2 linked regions of the Pelodiscus sinensis genome follow. The protein of the gene in region 1 interacts with the protein of each later gene in a pairwise test. Links are inferred from orthologs where the notes say so. Each region holds a gene or a part of one and is shown in the gene's direction. Other genes may lie near its edges.

The links.
Region 2: the proteins of TRIM2 (region 1) and volume-regulated anion channel subunit LRRC8E interact in binary tests that used the Homo sapiens proteins (3 or more experiments, as listed by UniProt). The two-hybrid records come from large-scale screens. The link is inferred for Pelodiscus sinensis from reciprocal best matches to the Homo sapiens genes TRIM2 and LRRC8E.

What each region holds. Positions count from the first base shown.
Region 1 is NC_134715.1:55,901,514-55,914,114, forward strand, and holds the start of TRIM2 (tripartite motif-containing protein 2), read left to right. Parts: upstream 1-6,494; 5' UTR 6,495-6,642; intron 6,643-9,035; 5' UTR 9,036-9,087; intron 9,088-12,601. UniProt on the Homo sapiens protein: UBE2D1-dependent E3 ubiquitin-protein ligase that mediates the ubiquitination of NEFL and of phosphorylated BCL2L11. Plays a neuroprotective function. May play a role in neuronal rapid ischemic tolerance.
Region 2 is NC_134729.1:9,963,866-9,975,975, reverse strand, and holds the start of volume-regulated anion channel subunit LRRC8E, read left to right. Parts: upstream 1-7,196; 5' UTR 7,197-7,382; coding exon 7,383-7,411; intron 7,412-8,050; exon of another isoform or gene 8,051-8,054; coding exon 8,055-8,193; intron 8,194-9,354; exon of another isoform or gene 9,355-9,538; intron 9,539-11,533; coding exon 11,534-12,110. UniProt on the Homo sapiens protein: Non-essential component of the volume-regulated anion channel (VRAC, also named VSOAC channel), an anion channel required to maintain a constant cell volume in response to extracellular or intracellular osmotic changes.

The sequences.
Region 1 (12,601 bases):
GATAAATAAGAAGACAGAAAATATCAATAAACCCATAGTATGTCCAAATCTTGAATACTTCTTGCAGATGTGATCACCTCATCTCAAAAAAGATATGTTGGCACTGGAAAAAGTTCAGAAAAGGGCAACAAAAATGATTAGGGGTATGGAATGGCTGCCATATGAAGAGAGATTAATAGAACTGGGACTTTTCATCTTGGAAGAGATGACTGGGGGGGGGGGGGCGATAGAGATCTATAAAATCATGACTGGTGTTGAGAAAGTAAATAAGGAAAATTATTTACTTATTCCCATGACACAAGAACTAGGGGTCATTACATGAAATTAATAGGCAGCACATTTAAACCAAACAAAAAGAAGTATTTCTTCACACATAGTCAGCCTGTGAAATTCTTTGCCAGGGGATATTGGGAATTCAAAAAAGCAGAATTCAAAAAAGAACTATATAAATTCACGTAGGATAGGTCCACTAGTGATTATTAACCAACTTGGACAGGAATGGTGTTCCTTGCTTCTGATCTGGGAATGGGTAACAGGGGATGGATCACTTGATGATTACTTGTTCTGCTCATTCCCTCTGAAGCACCTGGCATTGGACATTGTTGGAAGACAAGATACTGGGTTCAATGAACCTTTGGTCTGATCTTGTATGGCTGTTGTTATGTTCTAATCCCATAGATTACCATGCGGGTGAAGTAATATCTTTTAAAACAGTATGTTTCAAACCTGTTTTGGAAGTATCAACTGTAGAGGTGAATGGGTAATCCAACCTTCGTAACCGTTCTCTATGCAGACTGCAAACAGGGGTACTATGTTATGGGAGGGGATGTTTGTTATGGACACCTGTCCACTAGAAATTAAACTGAGCACACAAAGTCATTTCACAGAGGTCACTGAAAACCAGTTGTAGATTACCATTTTATGTCAATACCAACTTGGGCTGGATTTTTTAATGGCTATTATGGAAATTAAAGACTCCATAATCCCATTATGAAGATTCAAACTAACCTATCTTCCAAATACTTTGCTTATAATCTGATCAAATCCTCCCTCTTCATCATTGAGATAGACAAGGTAAACCCCTCTGAATTTGTTGAGAAGATGAAAGAGAAGTAAACAGTAAGGCTATGTCTACACTGGCGCGTTCTTGCGCGAGAACAACTGTTCTCGCGCAAAAACTTGCTGCCTGTCTACACTGCATGCGCGTTCTTGCGCAAGTAAATCTACAGTAGAGCATCTGAAATCAGGGCTTCTTGCGCAAGAGCTCTGGCGCTCCCTCTCAGGAAGAAGCCATCTTGCGCAAGTGTTCTTGTGCAAGAGGCCAGTGTAGACAGGCAGCCAAGAGTTTTTGCGCAAGAACCAGCCAAATGGAAAAAAACCAAGTGGCTACTTAGACACTCTGTACCCACCACAGCACCAGACTTCCTGGTTACCGGAGCCCCCTTAAAGTCACATGCAGCCTGCAGAGGCCATGTGGCAGCAGCACCTCTGCCACCCAGCTCTCCTGGGCGGCTCTGCCTTGATGCAGCAAAGGCCCCACCAGCATGTCTGCTCCAGGGAGGCACCAGCAACCTGCAGCCTTCTTCCAGCAGCCATCCCAGGGGTCTCAGGAGGCCCCGAGGGGCACCAAGAGGTGCACCCTGTCCTGGTCCCCAGCCGAAGTAGAGGCCTTGCTCAACCTGTAGGCCAATGAGGAAGCCCTCCATGACCCCCATGCCTGTTGGCAGAATGCTGACATTTTCTGCCGCATGGCCCAGGCGCTCTACCACCAGGGACATCCAGCCCGGACCCTTGAATAGGTCGGGCTAAGGTGAAGGAGCCGACACCTGCCCCCACTATGACCGGCTCCATGCCATCCTTGGGGAGATGGAAACTGAAGGCCCCTCGGTGCCTGTGGACACCAGCATGCGGCCCCCCGTCATCAGGCCAGTTGAGGCAGAGGAAGAGGCAGAGCTGCCCACCGGGTTGGAGGAGGAGGACGATGACCAGGGCAGCAGCGTCACAGTGCAGACTGAGATGGTGCCAAGCAGCCAGGATGTCTCCCGGGCTTCGTCGGAGGCCGGAGAAGGATTCTCTGGTGAGTGTTGTGCTTTTCACTCACAAGGGCCGGGGGAGCCAGGTGCCCAGGGGTGAGGGGGAGGGAGCGTCACTTAGGCAGTTCGAGCTGCACACTGTGTACCAGTATGCAGCACATGCAACCTCGTGCAGCCTGACTGTGCGGCATGTGGACGCGGCAGGCAGCTACAGGGCATGCCTGGGACTGTGCTGCTCACACACGCCTGGACTGGGGAGGCAGGGGGATGCCGGCTGGAAGCAGCCAAGGCCCCAAAGAGCTCAAGCCAGACCCCACACCTCCCGAAGGATGCCGCACACAGACAGTGCTGGGAAAACCGCAGCGAGCCAGCCCTGTGAGCACAGCCCCCACTGAGCCCCTCGCCTGTTCCTGGCCCCTAGGCTGGGCCCCAAGGGAAGTCCCTCCCCTAGCTAGAGGGGGAGAGGGGAAGTGATTGGCCTGGCCCTAGGGCCACTTGAGTTTTGCTGAAAGGACGGTACACTCCCCAGTCACCCCTGGCTCTGTCTCCGAGGACATCACTTGACAGGGGTCCGAGAGCCCAGACCTTGTCTCCCATCCATGCTCTCATGCAATGTGGGGATTTATCAAGCTCCTCTTCAAACTCTGTTGAATAGTCCTAAGCCTTCGCAGCCTCCTGGCAAGGAGTTCCACAGGTTAACACAAAACATGCCAAGGGGCCAGGACACAGACAAGGGGTTACAATCCATGGAGGATCACTTTACTCCAGGGGGGAGTCCTGTATGAAAACATACACACACGGGGGGAAGTGAGTGGGCCCAAGCCACAGTACTGTGTTGTCACCTGGGCTCAGGACGGAGGGCATGGGGCGCAGGGACAGTGTGGGCAGGTCTGCCTGACCGACCCACAATTTCCTCTGTTCCCTGTAGCTGGACCCTCCAGGAGCAAGGGACCCTCCAGCCCTGCGGCGGCAGCAGCACCCCCAACGATCTAGGTACCAGCCCAGAGGGTCAGGCAGTAGGACCAACTGCTCCTTCACCACGTACGGGCCATCGAGCGCATTGAGGCGGCCATCACTAGGAAGACTGACGCCGACCTGGAGTGACGCCAGCATGCATGGGGGCAGTTTTTGCACCGGTGTGACCGCATGTGTGATGCAATCACGACTCTGACATCGCACATCAGGCAAGCCATGCACTATGGCATGGCATTGCCTCATGCATCTGCCCTCCCTGCCATGCCCATGCCCCCTTCTCCGGCCTTCACTCCTGCTACCGCCCTGCCCCCACCTGCTGCACCCTGTCCTGCCCATCACTCCATGCTACCTGCCCCGATGCAGCCTGAAGGCCATCCAGGACTCCGCTCCCGCAGAGGCACTGGCAGGAGCCACCTCTTCCACCAGTAGCTTCCCCTCCCAGTTCAGAGCCCCCTCCCACTGCCCACCCTTCTCCCCCATTGTAAATAAAAATAAAAGTTTTATGGTTGTTTGAAAAAAAAACTGTTTTGTTTATTGGGAGGTGAGGGGAGTGGGGGAGGGAAGGGTTGGGGATGGGAGGAAGACGTAACTGGGAGACAGAAGCAACCCTACTGTGGGGCCTGGGAGAACATCTTCTTCAGGGCCTCCCGGATGCACACTCCATCATGGTGTGCCTGGCAGATGGCAGCTGTGCGAATGCCTGGCCCTCTGCTGCATCCACACCGGGAGGAAGACCTCCCTATTCTGCTCCACTATGTTGTGGAGCACACAACACGCAGCCACTACTTCTGGAAGGTTCTGCTCACCCATCTTAAGACAGGTGAGCAGACAACGAAAAGCAAACTCAGCTTGGTTGCAGGATCGGTTGAGGCGATCGTTGAAACATGCCCGGTCAGGGTCTGTCCATCCTGTGTACAGCCACATCAACCAGGGCATCGGGGGTAGGCCGCATCCCCCACAACACAAATTGGTATGGGCACATCCCCAATAGTAAAGTCTCACTGGGGGAAGAAAGTGCCCGTCTCCAGCCTGCGAAACAGGCCGGAGTTTCTTAAGATGTGGGCGTCATGTGCTCTGCCGGACCACCCCACATAAATGTCAGTGAAGCAGCCATGAGGGTCCACGAGGGCCTGGAGCATGACAGAGAAGTACCCCTTGCAATTTATGAACTGGGCCGCTTAATGTCCAGGGCACGGACAGGGATGTGGGTCGCATCCAGGGCTCCCCCGCAGTTGGGGAACCCCAGGGCAGCGAAGCCGGCCACTGTTGTGTCCACGTCCCGAAGGTGGATGACTCACTGAAGCAGGATGTCGTTGATGGCGTGGATGACCTGCAGAAGGGTGCACAGAAACACAGGGAATGCACCAAATGAGGCAGGGTGAGTGCATGATCCTTTGGGGGGGTGCCCACCCCCCTATGATGCCCTCTGTCCCCAAACACACCAGGGCCCTCTTGCCCCACAGGCCCCCCCCCCATACCAGCAGGCCTGTGTGAGGGAGGGATGGCACAAACCCCTGGGTGACAGGGAGTCCCCCACTCTCCCAGCCGTGAGTCTTCCCTTCCCCCGGCAGGGAGTGCAGCACCCACCCCAGGACTTACCTGCATCACAATGGAACCAATGGTGGACCTGCCCACCCCGAACTGGTGTGCCACCGAGTGGTAGATGTCCGGGGTGGCCAGCTTCCATATGGCAGTGGCGACCCTCTTGTTCACAGGGATTGCAGCCCACAGCCAGGTGGTGCGTCTCTGGAGTGCAGGGGCGAGCCAGGCACACAGCTCCAGGAACGTTTGCTTTTGCATCTGAAAGTTCTGGAGCCATTGCTAGTCGTCCCATTGCCCCAGGACCAGCTAGTCCCACAGTCGGTACTGGTGTCCAGTTTCTACACATGCCTCTCCACGGTGGGGTGGGGATGCTCCAGGGCCGCCAGAGCATCTGTGAGGAGAGAGTCCAGCTCGAGCTCTGTCTCAAGGTCCTGGAGGAGCAATGCAGCAGCATGGAGCAACTGCTGCAGGCACTCCAAGATGGCCACCCCGGCTCCATGGCACAGCAAGGTGAAAGCACAATGCAGAAAAGGCACTAGGGCTCAAAGCTGTGGTGTCCAACAAGGCAGAGGGCAACCACAACTGGAACTGCTATGGCTATCAGTCCCTACAAGAGGTCCTAAAGTTCACAGCAGGAGAGAAACGGTTGTCCAGGAGTTGGGTGTTAGTAATTAAATACACTGTTCATGCCTGATAATATTATTATTTGCAAATTGAACAAATCCCAGCACGTTGATAATTCAGTCTTGGGTGCTGTAATGAACGCTAAGGTAAACAGAAAAATAAATGTCCACTTTTCAGTACAAAAGGCTAAACAAGTTCAACATCCCTTGTTTAGTTCTATTTAGAAACAATTTTATTTGTATGTGATGCTATGATAGTGCTCCTAGAACTCTAATTTTATTCATGACAGTGTGTTTTTTTTGTAATGGTATTACTCTATTTCACACTCCCACCAAAACACACTTTGCTCCAATTTTATTATTAAGAATTTCAGTATAACTTCCATTTAAAAATTATAATCTAGGCCATATACATTTTGTGAGGTTGCCATGGTAACAGTTTCTCTGAGGGGAAAACTGGCTGTCTGTAGTTTCCACAGAAACCACTCCCTGCTGAGACAGGTGCCTTGAAAGGAAGGGGAGAGAATATAAATGAGACAAAAAGGACACACACACACACACACAGAGTGATGTCATGATCTCTGCAGCATCCTTACGCTGTAGGAAGTCAGTTATATACATTTTTTATTTTATAGTTTTTCATTACAAGGTCAGCTTCCCTGTTCTCCAGTCACGTAAACTCTGATTTGCCAATCCCTCACCTCCATGGAGCTGGGTTTGTGGCCAGTGATTTGGAAATGTTCCATGCCAGCAAAGAACTGAAACAGATTACGTCAGACATTAAGGTCCAGGGTTCTAAGAATCACTTTGCATGACAACATTTAAATGGTAAACAAGAGCTTTCATTCATTTTTTTTCTGAAAAATTCAACCCATTTCCTTTTAAAACGAAGAAGGGGAGGGGAGGAGTAATTCCTGATTAATTCTGGAGGATGTGGGTTTTGTTCTCTTTTGGGGGTGGATATGCCTTGTGCGGAAAATGTATGGTGAAAGATCAGGTAAATAGTAAAAGATGAATGATCTTTGATGTCAGCCTTTGCTATTTGAGGGAGTGGGGGGAAGCAATGTTTTTATTTTTAATGTCATAGTGAAAAACCATTGAATACCATTACCAAGAGCCTTTTTTTCAGACAAAATAGTGTTGATTTATTTTATTTCTTCAATAACATCATGGCATTTGTTCAAGGGTTAGTACAGCCATAACTAGAGATTAACCTGCTGGCTATTTCATTTTTGTCCTATCATCTCTCTGCCTCGTTATGGGGGAAACAGGCTGACATGGTTATTAAATCTGGCAGCTGAGTTGCATGCACGTAGGAAGCAAGCAGAGCAGAGCTTATAGAAAATGAGTAGCTTTCAGATAGCAGCCTTCTTTTCACTGCTACCGGGCTTGAAAAACAGTCTATAAAAAAGCTCTTTCTCTTCTTTTTTCTGGATCAGTGCACAAATATCGCAAACACAATTGCAAATGTAAGTATTCCTGGCTTGTGGCTGCTTTCAGATTGCTAATTAAGGTTTCTAACTTCAGTGTTCTGGTTGAAAAAGCAATGAGATGAAAGCCAAAAACATCCCCAGTGAGAATGTTTCTTTGCGGTATTGTAATGGCTTTTAGTGAAACAGCAAGAGAGAAGGGATCCTTGGTAGCTTAATGGAACAAACAAATTACAGTTGTGTTAGCTGATTTTTTTAGGATGTGTGTGCTGCTTTGTTTGTGAAGGGAAGAGCCAGAACCCTGACAGAAATGCTATTAGAGAGTTTTTGATACACAGGGAGAAAGATACCTCTGCATACAGAGACTATTTACAAGCACAGAAAGGAATTTCTCTTGGCATTTTTCATTTAGCATGCTTTTTTGTTTTGTTTTTTAAACAAAACATATACTTGGACTTCTGATTAAGAAATTTGACAGTAACTTATAGAAGAAAAACCAAATCTCCATCCTCAGACTGCTATTTACCTTACATCTAAAGTGATAAGGACAATGAAAATAACAGGGTGAGCTATAAATGTCACCAAATCTCTCATGCTGTGTAGTGGAAGATGAGCTTTGTTTGTTTTAGGGCATGAATACAGAATAACATGGTGGCTGGGAAGCTGTGGAGTTGCAGGTTTCTCAGTGCCGCAGACAGGAATTGTAAACAAGGACACAGTGTTGCTTGGTATGTTTTGTGCTTTCTATAACCTGATTATAGCATCAAAAATAACATTTTGGTTACAATCTCCTGTATAATGGAAGTATTTTTATAGTGTGGTTATTCCACTGCAGTGAATTTCAACGTACAGCTGGTGAACTCTTAATATGCTATGAATGAAATCTGCCTATTGAAAACAATCTTCAACCAGTAACGTGTACACATTTCAGATAATTGCATGAGAAATGCCTGCCATGGCTAGTTTGTTTGTGCTGTCATGACATGTTTGTTCCTTTGCACTGTTTGTTATTTAGTAGGGGCTGTTTACAGTACTGTAAACCCTTTATAACTCATGTAACAATTTAATTCCTACAGTTCTTTTAAACAGGTGACCAGCATAAAGTGATCATGAAGACTGTGTTAGTTTCATGTATCAATGTACTGCAAATAAAGGGCCAAACACATCCCTCATGCAACTCCAGCAATGTTAATGTAGTTACAACAGGGATGCATTTGGCTGTTTTGCTGATAATCAGTCATCACTGGTGCCTTAATTTCTGAAGATATAGATGTCTCTCTCCATTGCAGCTATTTCACCATTGGCTATATATGAAAATGATCACCTTTGATCACAATTGGTAGAGTTAGGTTCCCCTAGACAGAGTGGCAACAAGCCAACTTCTGAGATAAGTGGTGACCTCTGAGGACTAGGTCTATCACAAACTTATAAACAACATTAAAATATTAAAAGGGCAATGGGGGGTAGGGAAAGGTTGCCAGGTGGGGATGGGATGGAATTATTCAATAAATGTTGAAAGCCAAAAATAAATCTTGTGAATGGAGAGAAATTATCTATGACTTCACTGAATGTATTCTTCCAGGAGAATTTGGAACATGTCTTAAAAATCTTTGCAACATCTTTCTGTCTACTGTCATTCATTTGAAGGGGAAGAAGGGAAAAACAGCTTTATCTTTCAGTTGTGATTCACACTCTCCCAGATTTCATCCAAAATTTTTCATCCCTGCTCTGAACTGAGTGTGATGGAGCCTAAGCAAAATTCAGTGATGTGCAGACATGCAGTGAAATGTGCAAATGTGTGCACTGACTTTTTAGGCATATGCTCATTGAATGTTAAACAACCCCTGCAGTTCCTGGTGCTGCTACTCAGAGACAGAGCTTCACTTTCTATTATGTGCATTAGTGATGATAGACTTTTTAAAAAAAGCTCTGGAGGCGGAACATCCTTTTGTATGCCTATCTCTCTGCAGATATTTTTTGCCTGGATTTGGCTGACCTTAGGATAACCTATTATTTTAAGGTTTGCCTCCCCCTCACAGTACTGAAGGGGAGTACAGTTCACTCAGGACATTTGCTATTGCAGTAGTTACATTTACCCTGGAATTTTTGGTATTTTCCATTCTAAATGCAGGTAAAGGCCAAGATACAATAAATGGCAAGATATGAATGATGGTAAACCCATAACCATCTTCATTATGTACTGAGGTACTGCAGATGAATAGCCTCCTCTTCATACTTTCCTTGGTTTCCCCCTCCCTGGACCAGGGGCCTTGTCTCCCTCTGAGTTACTTTTCCCCACAAAGAAAATTATCTTTCCCATTTTCTTAGTGTCCTCAGGCCCTGATACTAGAACGAACTTTGTCCCCCCAAGCTGACTGAGAGACTTGGACCAGCAGACTTTAGTCTCCATGTTGGTTTTTCTCTCCCCTCAGCTTTTAAAGCAACTCTTCTTCTCCCTCCTGAATCCCAGCAAGAGGAAGCAAGGTAGGTCAGGAAAATTTTTCATATCTATTCTGCTGAATTTTGTAAACCTGTTTGTGCCCTGTGTTTTGTCCTACCATGAACATAATTGTGACTTGAGCTTCACTAGCATTTATACCAGAGACCTAATTAATTAAATAAAATTATGCTCAAGTCATCAGGAAACAGTGCCATATGACCACTCCCAACTAAACTGCACAACTTGAGTTTTGGATTCTGAATTTCAAATAGCAAACCATTGAGTAAACAAAATGTATCAAAACTATTCAGGGAATATTTCAATAGCAAATAAATTAGAGAAAATCAGTCTGTTTGTGGACATTCCATGAAGAGGAAAACTAACAAAAGCTCGTAATAAAATATTTATTAGTAATTCATACAGAATTAATTTTTATTATTAATTAAACTATACTGGGCTGCATTATTACCCCACTTCCTTCGATTCACCTAAACATTGATGTCAGACTGTCACTATGGGGTTAGTCCTACATTTAGTCACTGTGTTTGATTAGGGGACTGGATGTGATAATTTTGTTCTGTGTTTTATTATTATTTGTCTTATACTGCCCAGGAACCATGTTCATGAATGCGATGAGGCACACCCCAATTCCCAACAGAAACAGACTAACAAGCTCCTCTGGTCTCAACTGATATGACATAGGCATACTTGCAGAGCCTGCTCCATTTGGAGGAAGCGAGATTAAAAAAAGGAGTGTTTGTCACAGGAAGGGATGGTAGCCAGGAGGAAAGCAGCTGTGCCCGCAGGTCTGATACAAGGGATGTCATGGGAGTGTAGCATTACTCGGTGGTGGCGCCAGCAGATGTGTCTTCACCTCCCCAGAATGCTATTCTTGTTCACTGTGGTGTAGGCACTCCCTTTTGAGCACAAAAGGGAGCTACTTTCAGGCACTGGGGTTCTATCATTTCACCATCCGCAGGGCATTGGGATAGCCCCAGATATCTTTGACTTTGTGGAAGGTGGACTTATTCCTATGGTGCTAGATGCTGAGGATCCTGTTGTCATTGACTCAGGCATAGGATGGATGCTAGGTCAGAACTTCATCCTGGCTTGCCACCCTAACGCATTGCTCTCTAGTCTAGAATCTTCCCATGACTGAACAGGCAGCCTGACCCTGCACGATGTGAGAATATCATGTAGATGGGCTTTTCTTAGTATGTAATTAAAATAATACTAAAATGGCATAAATCTTTCTGTGACCTGATTCAAAGTAGTTCTGACCCACTGGTAATGTCTCCCTTATGGTGTTTAATATCCAACTGTTAATTTAAGGAAGTATATTTATCTAAATTGAATCACCTCACCAAAACATAAATGTTAATTATGAAAATGTTGTGGACCATTGATAATGATTGCTTTAAGCCCATTAGTATAGAACCATTAATGTAATGGAGCATATTCACCCACATTTAATCACATCACAAAAACATTCAAGTTAAATAGCCACGTATAACAGCTATAGCATAAAGTCTCAGAGGAGTTAGTTCATCATGGAGTAATTTCACTCATTCATTCATGCAGGCTCTGATCCTATATTGTGATCCATGTGTACAAGGTGTGCCTGTACAGGAGCAGACTGTTAGCATGGATATCAGTGCCTTAGTTAGCACAGTCTGATTATATTTTCGAACCTCTTTGCTCCCCTCCATTTCAGCTGTAGATTTCAGAAGTAGTGCTTGATGGAAAACAAGAATTCAGTTTTTATTATGCCCAGTTTTTGGCATTTGGTTTTGTTCTGCACTGGGACAAAACTGAGACCCTTAGAACTTTTTTCTAAAAAAAAACCTGAAGCAGCTGGGATGGCCAATGGCCCACTCTTCTAGGTACAGGTTTTTTGTTAGGGTATACACCTACCAGTCTATACAATAATATTAAATACTATAAGTGTAAGTGAATTTGAATGTCCTGACTTTTTTTTACTTTAAATTCTGAATTCTAATTTGCAGTTACATAGGTTTTTGGTTCAATAGTAGTTTATGTAAATAAGGTGGCATATACATAATCAACTGTCAGTATTGAGATCAGTAAAAATATATCCTGACAGTCACAATGTTGTCCCTTCAATAAAGAAATCATAAAAATCTTAACTAAGGCAAGCCTCTGAACAGGAAGGGCCATTGTATCCCCTTGAATGACTTTTTGGCATGCAAAGAAATGAAGAACGTTTTTCTTGTATTCCAGAGGACAGTGAATAAGATGCTTTTGAAAGATTACTTGAGGGCGCGTAATTACTCAAAATATCCTTTCATCCATCCAGATCAAGCTGGATTTATATCAAGCTGGTTGGCTGGTAGTTTGAAAAGGATTTTACAGTTCTTATTAGTTAAGGGATAATAGGACAGGTGCCTCTTTTTAGGAGGCAATAATATGGTTCCCAAATGGAACTAGAAGGCAAAATAATTTATCCTCATGAGAGACCTTGCTTCTTACCAAAAGGTCAGAGCATCCCCTCCAATCATTCCCCATTATACAGTCCCATCAGACATGCTAACCCGGGGTGGGCAATAATTTTTGATGGGGGGACCCTCCCAAGATTTTGGAAAGTGGCCGAGGGCTGCACTCTTCCATGATGTTAATGGAGGAGGTGCGGGGTCTGGGATGGAGGTTGGGTGCAGAAGGGAGCTTGGGGTAAAGGATTGGCGTGCAAGAGGGAGAATGGAGTCTGGGAGGGAGTTTGGGCAAAGGAGGTAGTTGTGGCTTAGGGCAGGGAAATGTGGTGCAGGGTTTTGGGATGTGACCTAGGTTAGGAGGGGTTTGTGATGTCAGTCAGGAGATTGGGGTGCCGGATCTGGGAGGGGCTATGGGTTCATGTGGAGAAGTGGGGCAGGAGTGTGGGGCAAAGGGTTGGGGAAGGGAGGGGCTGAGATGCCAGAGGCAGGTTTTCACCAGGAGACTTAGCTGCCTGCCTGCCTGCAGACCTAAAGACTTGCAGAGCTTAAAATGTTTCTGCCTGCTCAGCCATGTGCTTGAGTGAGTGATCAGGAGGGTTGTGCTTTGTGGCTGCCTGTTGTTCAAACAGGCAGCTCCCATTGACCAGTGTCTGTCTGGAAACTGGCCAATGGGATTGTGCTGGGGCCGGAGCAGCATTTTAAACCCCCCTCCTCCTCCGGACTCAAAGAAAAAGCGCCCCACAGCCACATTTCTCAGTGGCATGCAGGGTTTATGGGGCAAGCAGGGGAGCTTGGCAGTCCAGATCTGGCCCACAGGCTGTATTTTGCCCAAGCCTGCGCTAACCCTATTTCTAATATGCTATAAACTAGAATGTGTGCACATTCAGCCCTTGTGCTTGCTATTTCCTAGTGCTGAGTCAAGTTGCCAGCACTTTGCAATTTAGGAAACTTTCCAATTTAATTGATGCTGACCTGGAAATCTGTCAGTTGTAATTGTTGGTTAGGGTTAGGACCACAAACAGACACAAAAGAAAAGATTAGACTTGGTCTATTAAATATTCCTTAATTCAGCTCTAAAAAGGGGAATCAAGGATCTGGGATGGGAGAG
Region 2 (12,110 bases), on another chromosome or scaffold:
TAGAGCCCTGTGCAGATACAAAACTGGCATCCGCATCTGCAATAATAATTTGCGGCCACAGTGGAACTGGTTCCTGCGGATATAAAGCAGATACCTGTGGATTTGCAGAGCTCTAGAGATCTTCCCCCTCAGAGCCTCTACCATGCTCCCTGCAGCACAGCGCCCCCTAGTGCCATAGAGGCTCTGGGGTGCTCTGTGCCCAGCTCCTCCGCAGCTCCCTGCATTTCCCCTCGGCTCTCCAACTCGCTGGCTTTCCTCTGTAGAGCTGGTCTCTGACACCACTTCTATCACTGTCCCCCGCAGAATGAGTGCACCGGCCCTTTAAATGTCCTTGCCAGCCCTGATGAGGGACTCGTGGGCACCTCAGGAAATGACTGTTTCCAGATAATTATGGGCCCGGCCTGCTGTGGCCGGGTGAGCTCACTCAGCCCTAGCTACAGGCGAGGATCCAGGCCAGGGGCCGGGCATGGAGAGGCTGGGGGGAGGGTAAGGGAGCTGGGGGTCAGGGTTCCTGGGTTGTGTCCCTTGCTCTGGGAGGCGAGTGGGGTCTCGGGGCTGGGCTGGATTCCCAGCTCTGGGCAGGGTGGGGTCCAATGGCTAAGTAGCTGCCACCTCAAGTGGATTTGATTGGCTGTCTCAGCAGGAGACGGAGCTCCTATCTGGTGTTTCCAGCACGCCGGCCTGGAGAAGCGGGTACTAGGCACCTGCTGAAGGTCGGCCTGATTTTGTGCCGGAGAGAGACATTCAGGGAAGGGCACCAAGGCCCCGCCTGTGACCCCCGGCAGCTGGGCATGGGCCTCCCAGCCTGGGCAGACAGACACGTGGCCGTGCTCAGGGCAGCGTGCCACACGTGGCGGTATGTATGTTACAGTATATGCTGCGGTGCAGGGCAGCTGCCTGAACATACACTCCAAGCTGCTGCATAGACGTACCCTCCGGAGGTCCCGACTCCCAGCACCCCAGCTCTAACCACTAGACTCACCAGTCTCTGCCCAGAGCTGGGAATAGAACCCAGGAGTCCTAAGGCCCAAGTACCCTGCTCTCGCTACCAGAGCCCACTTCTGTCGTGCAGGGCAAGGCAGGACATTGGGCCATATTTGGGGTGTGAGCCAGAACCCGTATCGACATGCTTGAATGCTGGTCCCTCTCAGCACCACGGCATCCTGCTGCTTAATAAACAAGTCCCTTCATTTACTGATTTTCTCCAAAAAATCCCCAGGGGCTGGGGAAAGCCAGTGACTGATTTCCACCTGAATTTTTGTATTTCAGGACCTGGCCATTTTTCACAGCAGGGGAAGCAAACAGGGCCATGCTGAAGGGCAGGGGGATCAGGAGGGGGCCGTGTTGAAGGGCAGGGGGATCAGGAGGGGGCCGTGCTGAAGGGCCAGGGGATCAGGAAGGGGCTGTGTTGAAGGGCAGGGGGATCAGGAGGGGGCCGTGCTGAAGGGCCAGGGGATCAGGAAGGGGCTGTGTTGAAGGGCAGGGGGATCAGGAGGGGGCTGTGCTGAAGGGCAGGGGGATCAGGAGGGGGCCGTGCTGAAGGGCAGGGGGATCAGGAGGGGGCTGTGCTGAAGGGCAGGGGGATCAGGAGGGGGCCGTGCTGAAGGGCAGGGGGATCAGGAGGGGGCTGGCTGGCAGGAGGCCAGAATGCACAGGGTGCAGCTTTCACTCCCCTTCTGACTCTGGCCCTGTTGTGCAGTCCCGTCCACGTCCTCTGTGCATCGGGGGAGATGAGGAGGGAACCAGGTCCCAGAACCCCCCTCACTCCACATGCCTTCTTGATACGGATGCTACGTAACAGTTGAGAATTCAGTTCCCAGATCCTGGCCCAGAGGGGCAGCAGGCTGAGCTTTTGGCCCCTCGTCACTTTCAATCCCTGGATTTCAGGTCCCAGCACAAGGCTGTGACGAGCAGGTAGCAAAGGGGGAGATTTTCCTTCTCAGACTCCTCTCTGCGGATTTATGTTCAAACATCCCTGTCAAATGAATCCCAGCTCCCAGGCCCCATCTGATTGTCTCCAGAGATGGGCTGTGCAGTGCAGCCCGGGGGTAGGATTTCACCCAGACAGTGAGAGCTTTGAGCCCGTTGCGGCCTCTGCCTGATGCAATGACCCACTTCACTGAGAACACAAACAGGAGCTTTGTAATTAGCCCCCTTTCTCCCATGACAAACCCGGCATTCAGCCCAGCTCCCAGAGCACTTTTCTAATCTACCTTGTGAACATTTTCAATGCAGTGATCAACTTCACAACTGTTCTTGTGCGGTGTTGCTGCGTGCTGTTAAATAGCTGCTGTGTTCCACCCCAGAGCTAGCTGCATTTCAGTGTGAGATGAGTGAGTCTTGTGCAGTGGTGCTTCTCACTGTTGAACACCTACCACGCTCCACCCTCAAGGTGGCTGCATTTCAGTGCTGAGTGAATGGTCCCTATATGGAGTTGCTGTGTGCTGTTAAACAGCAGCTGCTGCTACCCACCCCAGAAGTGGCTGCATTTCGTTTTCAGGGGGCAAAGTGCTCCTTATAAAGAGTTTGCAAAGTACCTTGTGTGACAGCAGCTGCAGAAATGTCAGATTGTTAGTGCAGATGTAGAAATCTTCTCTGGTCCATGAGCAACACCCATGGGCTGAATTCAAACCACAATTTCAGTGAGATTAAATAATCAAACCATTGTAATGTGCAATCGCCCTTTCTGTCACCTGAGGAGCTGGGAGTGCTGCTGCCCACACCTACAGCTGGGAATCTGAGACAAAGAGCAGAATGGGTGCTTCTGAGGGCACCCCGTGAGAGAGATACAGGAGTCCTGCTCTCCCCACTAGTCCCCACTCCCGAGGCCAGAATCTAGCAGTCGTGACCCCCAGCTCTACTTCTGCTCTCCTCGCTAGTCCCCACTCCCCTGACATCGCTGAGGCCAGAACCCAGCAGACCTGATCCCCAGCCCTACCTCTGCTCTCCCCACTAGTCCTCACTCCCCTGACATCGCTGTGGCCAAAACCCAGCAGGTCCTGACCCCCAGCCCTACCTCTGCTCTCCCCACTAGTCCTCACTCCCCTGACATCGCTGTGGCCAAAACCCAGCAGGTCCTGACCCCCAGCCCCACTCCTGCTCTCCCCACGAGTCCCCACTCCCCTGGGGCCAGACCCCGCGGGGAGGGGGGTGCAGCACGCCGCTCTCCCTGCCTGGCTGCTCTGTGTGCCAGTCGCTGCAGCTCTGTGGCTGGTGCCGGCGGAGGCTCCGCGTGTTTGCTCTGCCCCGGGTCTCCTCCCTCCCCAGACCCAGCCCAGTGCAGGGCGGAGGGGCTGGGCGGGAGCTCGCCAGACCGGTGAGTCACCGCGGCCCCGGGGGTGTCAGGGAGCAGCGTCGAGGAGCCTGTCACCGCGCACGGGGCGGGGGGCGCGGCGGGGTTACCCTGAGCGCGCCCCGTCGAGCCCAGGGGAGGCAACCGGGACCAGCTGGGCAGGGGGACCGGAGAGCTGGTGAGTTACAGGGGCAAAGCGGGGGCGTGGTCAGAAATCCTCCCCCACCCCCCGGCGGAGCGAGAATCCGGTTTCCACTCACCCAGAAAGGGCGGAGGAAACGGGGGATTCGGATTTCGCGTTCCCGCAGAGGAGGGAGTCCGGATTTACTCCCCAGCAAGAGCGACGGGGGGGGCAACAGGCGAACTTTAGTGGGATCTGGATTGGCCCTTGTGGAAATGGGGCAGTTGGGGTTTGCCCCCAGGAAAGGGGGGGAGTGGATCTGGTTTTGCCCCAGGAAGGGGGGGAAGGCAATTTGTCCCTAGGAGAAAGGGGACAATTTTTAGGGGAGAGGGATTCTCTGGGAGGTAGAGGGGATAAGATAGTGCTTGTTTGCCTCTTCTCAGAGAGAGTTTTTGGGGTGCAGATTTCCCCCTGGGGCTGTGGGAGGGAAACACATCCTGCTTTGGGGGGCCTTGTTTGGTGGGACCCCCTTCAGTTCCCCTTACCTCCCCCCGCCCAAATGGAGCAGGCCCCAGCCACCTCTGGAAGCCTGTGTGAAGAAGTGGGGGTTGAGCTCAGAGGCTGGGTGGCTGGAGGTGTCTGGGGACTACAAGTGCTAGATGTTGCCTGAGCATGACTGGAGGACACCTAGCAATGTGGGGATGGATAGGGGATGCCTGTGAGCGTGGCATGACTGGGGGTGTCCAGAAATGGGGGGGCATAGAGAGGGGGAGGGGTTGCCTGAGGGCTGGGCATGGCAGGAGCATGGGGTTGGGGAGGGCTTGCTTGGAGCTGGGGGTTAGTCTGTGTGCCTGGGAGGATGAGGGACTCGGGCCAGGCGGAGGAAGAGGAAGAGGAAGAGGAAGAAAGGGGGGACTCTCTTCTGGGTCAGGCTGGGAGTGGGGGCCAAGGGGCTGGGCACTCAGAGCATCTGAGAATGCTGGGCCAGTCCAGGGATTTGCTGATCACCCCTGCTGCAGGTGAGGGTGAGGGGAGGCTCCACGTGGGGGTAGGCATCAGGTGTCCTAGGCAGCCAGGCACCTGGCCACTCCAGAGTGAAGCTCTTGGCTCCTGCATGCCTGGAGTAGCTTGAGCAGCTGGGCCTCCATTCTGGATCGAGGTTCCCCCAGACCACACTTCCCCATGCCAGAGGATCTGTCCCCCCCCCCCACCCTTCTGCCTGGGAGAGCAGGCATTCGGGATGCCAGCTGGGGGCACGGTGGGGCAGCAGAGCAGAGATGTAGGGGGGGAGGTATTAATGAGGCTACCAACCTCTGGAGGTGGTGGCTGTGCTCCAGGGAGGGCAGGAGCCCCCTTTCAGTTTCCTGTTGTCTCCCCAAATTCATGGTCTTCTGCCCATTGATTCCTTTTGGGATGGTCTGAAAGATGCTCTAAGGGCTGCAGTGAGAGTGAGGTGGGGGCTGGATGGGTCCTGATCCCTGCAGGGCCTCACAGATGCGAACAGGCCCCCAGCACTGCATCCCAGGGGCTGGAGGAGGGATCCTACATTCCCAGCTGCCCATGCTGGACAAGGACTCCAGGGCTGCCCCAGTTTGTCTCCTCTTTCCCCACTGTGATCCCTGAAGTATCCAGTTGATTGTAAGCACCATGGATGGTGGGGGAGTCCAGCTGTTAGTTCTGGGTGTTGTTTCCTAGTCACACCCTGTCGAGCCAAACATGCATCTGAGATGTAATGATACTGGGGGGGACACAGAGGTGGGAGGGATAGATGGGGATACTTCCCACTGCTGGATTGGATCCTGTGTGTCAAAAGCCCTCTATTGCTAATGGTGAGTCTCCTCTAAACTCAAGTTTCACAGACTGGTACCGTCAGAGCAGGAGGAGCTGGGATCTGTCCCGGCTTTGCAGCATGATCACTCCCCCTGCCCTGCCCCCACACAAAGCCCTCAGTGGCAGTGGGGCTGTGTCAATACTCAGCTCTTCACCTTTGCCCAAAGCCACACATTGGCTCAGTGGAGCCAAGACTAGGAGCCCCGGGGGTTCCTGGCTGTACACGTGGGTGCAAGTCCCTTGGGCCACCTGCCAGCCCTACACACTCCTCACTCCATTTACAGCTCCGCATGGGGAGTGTGGACTAGCAGTCAGAGCAGAGTTTCTTCCACTATTACTTTGGGCTTCCCTGGAGAGTTCCAACCCTGCTTTTAAAAATTCTCTCTGCTCTGAATTCTCCAGATTGCCCCAAACTGCCGGCGGCTTTCTCTGCCCCCCCCATCTCCTCTGGTGCCCAGCACAGTCAATGGAAATATTTACTCCGCTGTGCAGGCACACATACAAACCACAAGGAAGCAGCTGCCGGGACAACATCCCTTGTGGAAGAGCCGGCTTGCCTCACTCTCCCCCCTGAGCAAAGGGAAAGGCATTTCCTTTGGGGAGCCCATCTAGCACCCGACGGGGTGGAGGGGAAAAACCGAGGCAGAGCCAGGAGCTTTCCCGCTGGTTGTCAGTCTCAGCTGTATCCCCATCCCTTAGTCAGTGCAATGAAAAAGGTCACGCTCTGCCTCCCACCACCAGTGGCAGCAGTAGGCAAAGGTGGTTAAGTTTCGCCAGCCCTGCAAGGAGCAGTAAAGGGTTTGGGGGAATTGAGGCACAAGGGAGGGAAGGGAATTGCCTAAGATCACACAGTGTCAATGGCAAAGTCTGAGACCCAGGAGTCCTGACTCTTAGCTCCTCTGCTGTAACCACTAGACACCTCCCCGCCCCCCTTCCAGTGCCAGGGATAGAAGTCAGGAGTCCTGACTCCTAGCTCCACTGCTCTAACCATTAGACACCACTACCACCCAAATATGGAGACAAAATCCAAGAGTTTTGATGGAAAAACCAAAGACTGAACAGGCCGCCAAGACTGCTTTCAAGGAGGGCACCCCAGGGGAGGGGTGGTGCACATTGGCAGGGGATCGGGGTGGGTACGTGGGCTCACAGAGCCATCTTCTGGACTTAGCCTCTCTGGAGGGAGGGCAGAAAGCATCTCCCCATGGGGACAATTAGATACATTTTCACAAGGGCTAGCTGGTTCACAATCGTTTGCCCCATTGAGCAAACCCTGGCTCTGTCCCCACTCCAGAGAAATGTGAGTGGCAGACTCCAGATCTGCAGACCTGGTTGCTGTGCAGCAGAGGTGGGATAAGGGGGGTGCAGGACGGACTTGGGAGAGTACAGGGCCAAGGAGATGGAGGGGGCTGTTAAACTTCCCATTTCTGGGAATGGAGTGGGGTCTAGTGTGTCAGAGCAGGGGGGACCACGGACCAGGACTCCTGGCTTCTATTCCCATCTTGAAAGGGAAATGGGATCTAGTGGTTAGAGCGGGAACCAGGAACCACAACTCCTGGGTTCTAGTCCCAGCTATGGGAGGGGTGGGGTCTAGTGGTCAGAACACAGGGGTCTGGGAGCCGGGAGCCTGGGTTCTATTCACACTCGGAGGGGAGCAGGCTCTAGGAATTAAAGCAGGTGGGTCTGAGCCAGGCTTTTATCCCCAGCTCAGGGTGGAGGGAAGAGTGGGATCCAGCGGGTTAGGGGCAGAGGCTGGAAATGAGGGTTCCTGGGATCCATCCCTGCTGCACAACACAAAGACTGAGGCTGGATCCCCCCCGCCCCCAGGCTGGGTAAAGGCGAGCCTAGGGAGCAGAGTCCTGTCTGCTTCCTGTCACCCTCAGCCAGCATCACCCCCTCTCTGTTGCCTGGAGGCCACAGGGCGTTGCTATGGTGCTTGGAACCCCCTGCTCCCAGGTGGCGGGTTCCAGGGCCCGGGCTGGCAGGGCCCACCCAGCGCTGGTTAAACCCCACGCGGTGCCCGGTGCCTGGGTTGCTCTCAAGCCACGGAGCAGGACTCTGCAGCTGGCTGGATCAGCTTTCAGCAGCCCTTTGAAAGCGGATCCAGTGTCTCCCCCTGGCTCCCCCTCCCCGCTCATATCGATGTCCTGGATCGAGCTTCCTATGACTCCGTGAGTAGCCCTGTCCCGTGGCTGGGCAGGCGGGGAAAGGAGACTGGGTGAGACTGAGGTGGGGAGGAAGTGGTGTGGGTGACCCGCAGGGGGTACCAGAGGGGGCTTAGTAGGGGGCACCCTCACCGTGCAGTCTGTGCAGGCCCCAAAGCTGCACTGCAGCATGTGACCTGTGTCTGTCGGACTAGCCACACTCCCCAGCCCTGCTGTCCTGCCCCCTTTCCAACAGGAGTAATTCCCTTCTGCCTTCCTACATCCTGCCCTGAAACTTCCCCTGTCAGAGCAGGGCTCTCCTGTCTCAGGCTCTTGAGGGGCTATTAGCCAGCGGCTGTGACCCACCCCAGAAGTGGCTGCATGTCAGGGCAAGGCAAGCAATGTACTCGGGGATGGCTGGTGTTGTGGAGGTGAAAGAGATTCAGGACAGGACAATTTTCTCTCTCAGGCTGGGCTCCTGCCAGGGACCAGCTCCCTCTCCTGGTCCCGCAGCCTGAAGACCTTTGCTCCCCAATGGCCCTCTTCCACTCAATTGCCTGTTTTCATGCAGCAGGGCCTGTGTGCTTGGGCGCCCGAGCTCCTGCTGACCGACCGAGGACCCAGCAAGCTCGCAGGCCTGAGCCTAACCCCTCCCTCTCTCTGCAGACAGGATGATCCCTGTAGCTGAATTCAAGCAGTTCACGGACCAGCAGCCAGCCTTCAAGGTGCTCAAGCCCTGGTGGGATGTGCTGGCCGAGTACATCACGGTGGCCATGCTCATGATTGGGGTTTTCGGCTGCACCCTGCAGGTGGGTACCGGGCGTGGGGGGGGTAAGCCATGACCACCCTCTGTGAAAGCCCTCCCATGCAGCAGCAGGGACAGGACCTGGGACCTCTGTGGCCCCCTCCCTCTGGAGCTGAAGGGGAATCACCAGCAGCAGCAGCAGTAGAAGGTTCTATCCTCAGCGGACAGTAGCAGGTGCTGTGCTCATGGCAGGTGTCAGCAGTGCCCCTAAGAGCAGGGAGCAAACCCCGAACTCTGGAGAAGGCAGCTGGCGGGGAAGAGCCCCGGTAGCCGGTCACCCTCCTGCCTGTCAAATGGAGTCCCAGCATGCCCTCTGCCCTGACGGGAGGCAACTGGAAGACGTCTCCCCTGGGGAACTGGGCAATTTGGATCTGAACCCCCCGGAGTTGGGAGGGGGTGGGGTTTGGCTTTGGACCACCAGGCGGGCGAATGCAACCTTCCTGCTGGGAGAGGAGAGGGTAGGCCCAGGGCTCGAGGGAAAGGGAGAAGGGCAAGGGCCCTCAGTACAGCCCCTAAGAAGGGGTAATCCCCCCCCACTCCGCAAGCAGGAGGGATCGGCCTCCCCTGGAGCATGTAGAGTATCTGGGCAGGTGCTGCCTCCCTCTGCCCTGCTGCAGGGGATCCGTGCCCAGGCAGGGAGCTCGCCCCAGCACGTCTGGGGTGTGGCTGGATGTTGGGTTGCCCTGCAGGAGGGGATGCAGGTGGGATTGAAGGCTGTGGCTGAACCACAGGAAGGAAACGGGCCACTGGGCTCATCCAAGTGGGGGAAAACAGCTGAGAACAGGAGTCCTGACCCCCAGAACCCCTCCCCCATACTCCCCTGCTAGAGTTGGGAACAAAACCCAAGCATCTGACTTCTACCCCCGCCCCCAGCTGTACCCACTAGATTCCACCCTTGAATGCTAGTGGCTAGTGGATGGGCCGGCACGCTTTGCATTCTGGGGTGGAACAGGGGACACGGGAGAAGGACCCCTCCATCCTTGTCTCCCGCTTGAGCTACCCCGACTCCCCCTGCCCTGTTTTAGGTTGGTCTGTCATCAGGGTGGAGGTCGCCCCCAGATGAGGGTCCCTCTGACCTTGAGGGGAGGAATCTGTCCATAGAGAAGCCCAACACCACGTGCACACGGCAGCAGCCCCGTTACAGCGTCTCCTCTCATGGCAACAGGGAGAACATCCGTGTCAGCAAGTCCCACAGGCAAAGCCCCAGGGCCACGTGTGGGGAGGAGGACGGGAGCAAGATCAGCTCCCCTGTAGTCCCCCTTGAGTTAACCATTTCACCGCCTGCCAGCCAATGAGGTGCCAGGAGATGGCAGGATCTGCCAGGGAAGTACAGAGAACCCCCCGCTTAGGTGAGAGAGTGGTTAAAGCAGGGGGCTGGGGGTTGGGACTTCTGGGTTCTTTCCCTGGCTCTGGGAGATGAGTGAGGTCTAGGCATGGGGAGGGCAGAGAGCTGGGGGTGGGACTCCTGGGTTTCACTCTCAGTTCTGGCTCTGACTTTCGGGATGACCTCAGGCAAGTTCCCTGCACGCACACACTCAGACCCTGCTGACACAGGGACCCTCAGCACAGCACTCTTCTGCTTGAGCTGAAGGAGCAGCTCCATCAGTGGGCAGCAGTAGTAGGTTGGTCATTCACAGGTGGGGAATGCCACTCATACTGCATAGGTGGGTTTGGCTTGTTCAGAGCCAGGGGCTGAATGTCACGTTTCTGAAAGAGGAAGATGCGTGGCCCTGGGGTTGCAGTAACCAGTTGATTTATTTTGTGTATCACCAGGCCAGCCAAGGCTCTGCAGAACGAAGGGCATTAATACTGTATAGCAGCCTGGCCAGTTCCTCTCTGCTTCCTGCCCCCCGCGCTCCCCCAGCTCTCGTAACTAACAACATCACAGCGGGGACTGTTCCCTTCAGAGTCAGGACTCCTGGGTTGCGATTAGCGATGGCTTGGCCTTGCATGAGCCGTGGATCACACGGGCTCCCATGGGGCTGGCATGCGCCGTGTGCAGTGCATGTGTTTGCATGCTAAGCTCGTGGGAGGTGCCCGCCGCTCTAGCTGGAGGAAAAGGCTGGCGTGAACTAGCGGCTCTTTGTCTTTTGTTAGTCCCATTTCTCTCCGCATCACAAGGGGCTTTAGAGACTTGCTGCCACCCTGGGGTTGGTCGGGCACAGAGAGGAGGGAAGCAGCCTAAGGCCAAACAGAGAGGTAGGGATAGAGTGGGGGATAGGATCCACTAGATCCCACGCTCCTCCTGGAGCTGGGGACAGAACCTAACTCCAAGCACGTGTGCTCTAACCACTAGACATACTTCCTTGCTACCAGCTGTGCTTCTTGGACTCTGTCTCCTTTGTCCTAGGGCCAAAGTGGGTCTTGGCCACTCAGGCCTTTGGCCTTCTTGCCCTTGCCCATTGATGCTTCAGAGTGCAGCCCACTGAAACTACAACTCCCAGCAGCCCGTGTGTTGTGGACCCCCCCCCACCACAGCTCTGAAGATGTGCTGGCTGGGCTGCAGCCTACTCCGGCAGCAGAGGCAGGGGGCAGGGGTCAGCCTTGGCTTCAGTCTCATGGTAATTCTTCTGCACTACTCTGCATGGAATAGACCTCACCTGGAGTAGTGTGTCCCGTTCTGGGCCCCACATTTCAGGAATGATGTGGACAAATTGCAGGAAATCCAGAGAAGAGCAACAAAAATGATTACAGGAAACATGGCCCACGAGGCAAGATTGAAAAAAAACCTGGGTTGGTTTAATCTGGAAAAGAGAAGTCTGAGAAGGGGACCTGATCACTCTTTTCAAGAACATGAAAGCTTGTTACAAGGAGGCGGGAGAAGAAGCAATGGGCTTAAATGCAGCAAGGGAGGGTTAGACTGGACATTAGGAAGAATTTGCTAACTGTCAGAGTTGTTAAGCACTGGAATAAATTGCCCGGGGAGGTTGTGGAATCGCCATCATTGGAGATTTTTAAGAGCAGGTTAGACAAGCAAGCACCTGTCAGGGAAGGTCTAGGTAATACTTAGTCCTGGCGTGAGTGCAGGGGACTTGACTCGGTGACCTCGGTCCCTGCCAGGCCTAGGATTCTGTGATATTGCATTGGTGCTGTGTGTGTAAGCTGCCCCTGGGCTGGGCACAGCTTCAGTGCCCGATACCACTATTGCCCTGACACATGCATGAATGCAGCCTGCAGTCGGTGCTCAGGGCAGAACCACGCATGGACCGTTGCATGACGCCTGGGGCCAGACCCCCACTGTGTGTCAGTGGGCCATTGCTCCGTTGGGGTCACATCCCCACCTGGTGTGAATCCGGATCCCCCATGGTTTCCTAACCTGCCTCCCTCTGTGGCTCTATCCCCAGGTGACACAGGATAAGATCATCTGCCTCCCCAACCACGTCCCCGCCAGCGCCTCGCACTCTGTCGACACGTGCCAAAATTTTGCCAGGAAGAGCCTCAACGCCTCGGAGCCAGACACAGCCCATCCAGCCCGAGAGATGAGTGGCCTGCGCAACAACCTGGACATCCAGCAGTACAGCTTCATCAACCAGATGTGCTACGAGACAGCCCTGCACTGGTACGCCAAGTACTTCCCCTACCTGGTGGTCATCCACACCCTCATCTTTATGGTCTGCGCCAGTTTCTGGTTCAAGTTCCCTGGCACCAGCTCCAAGATCGAGCACTTCATCTGCATCCTCGGCAAGTGCTTTGACTCGCCCTGGACTACCCGGGCCCTCTCTGAGGTCTCTGGGGAGAACCAAGAAGGGTCAAGCCCAAAGAAGGAAGACCGGCGGAGGAAGAGCATCAAGGACGAAATGCCCGAGCCCCCACCTCCACTACAGCCCGTCCAGTCCATCTCTGAGAAGAAGGTAGCGGAGGCTCCCTCCGTCAGCCTGCTGGACAAGAAGGAAGGGGAGCAGGCCAAGGCTCTGTTCGAGA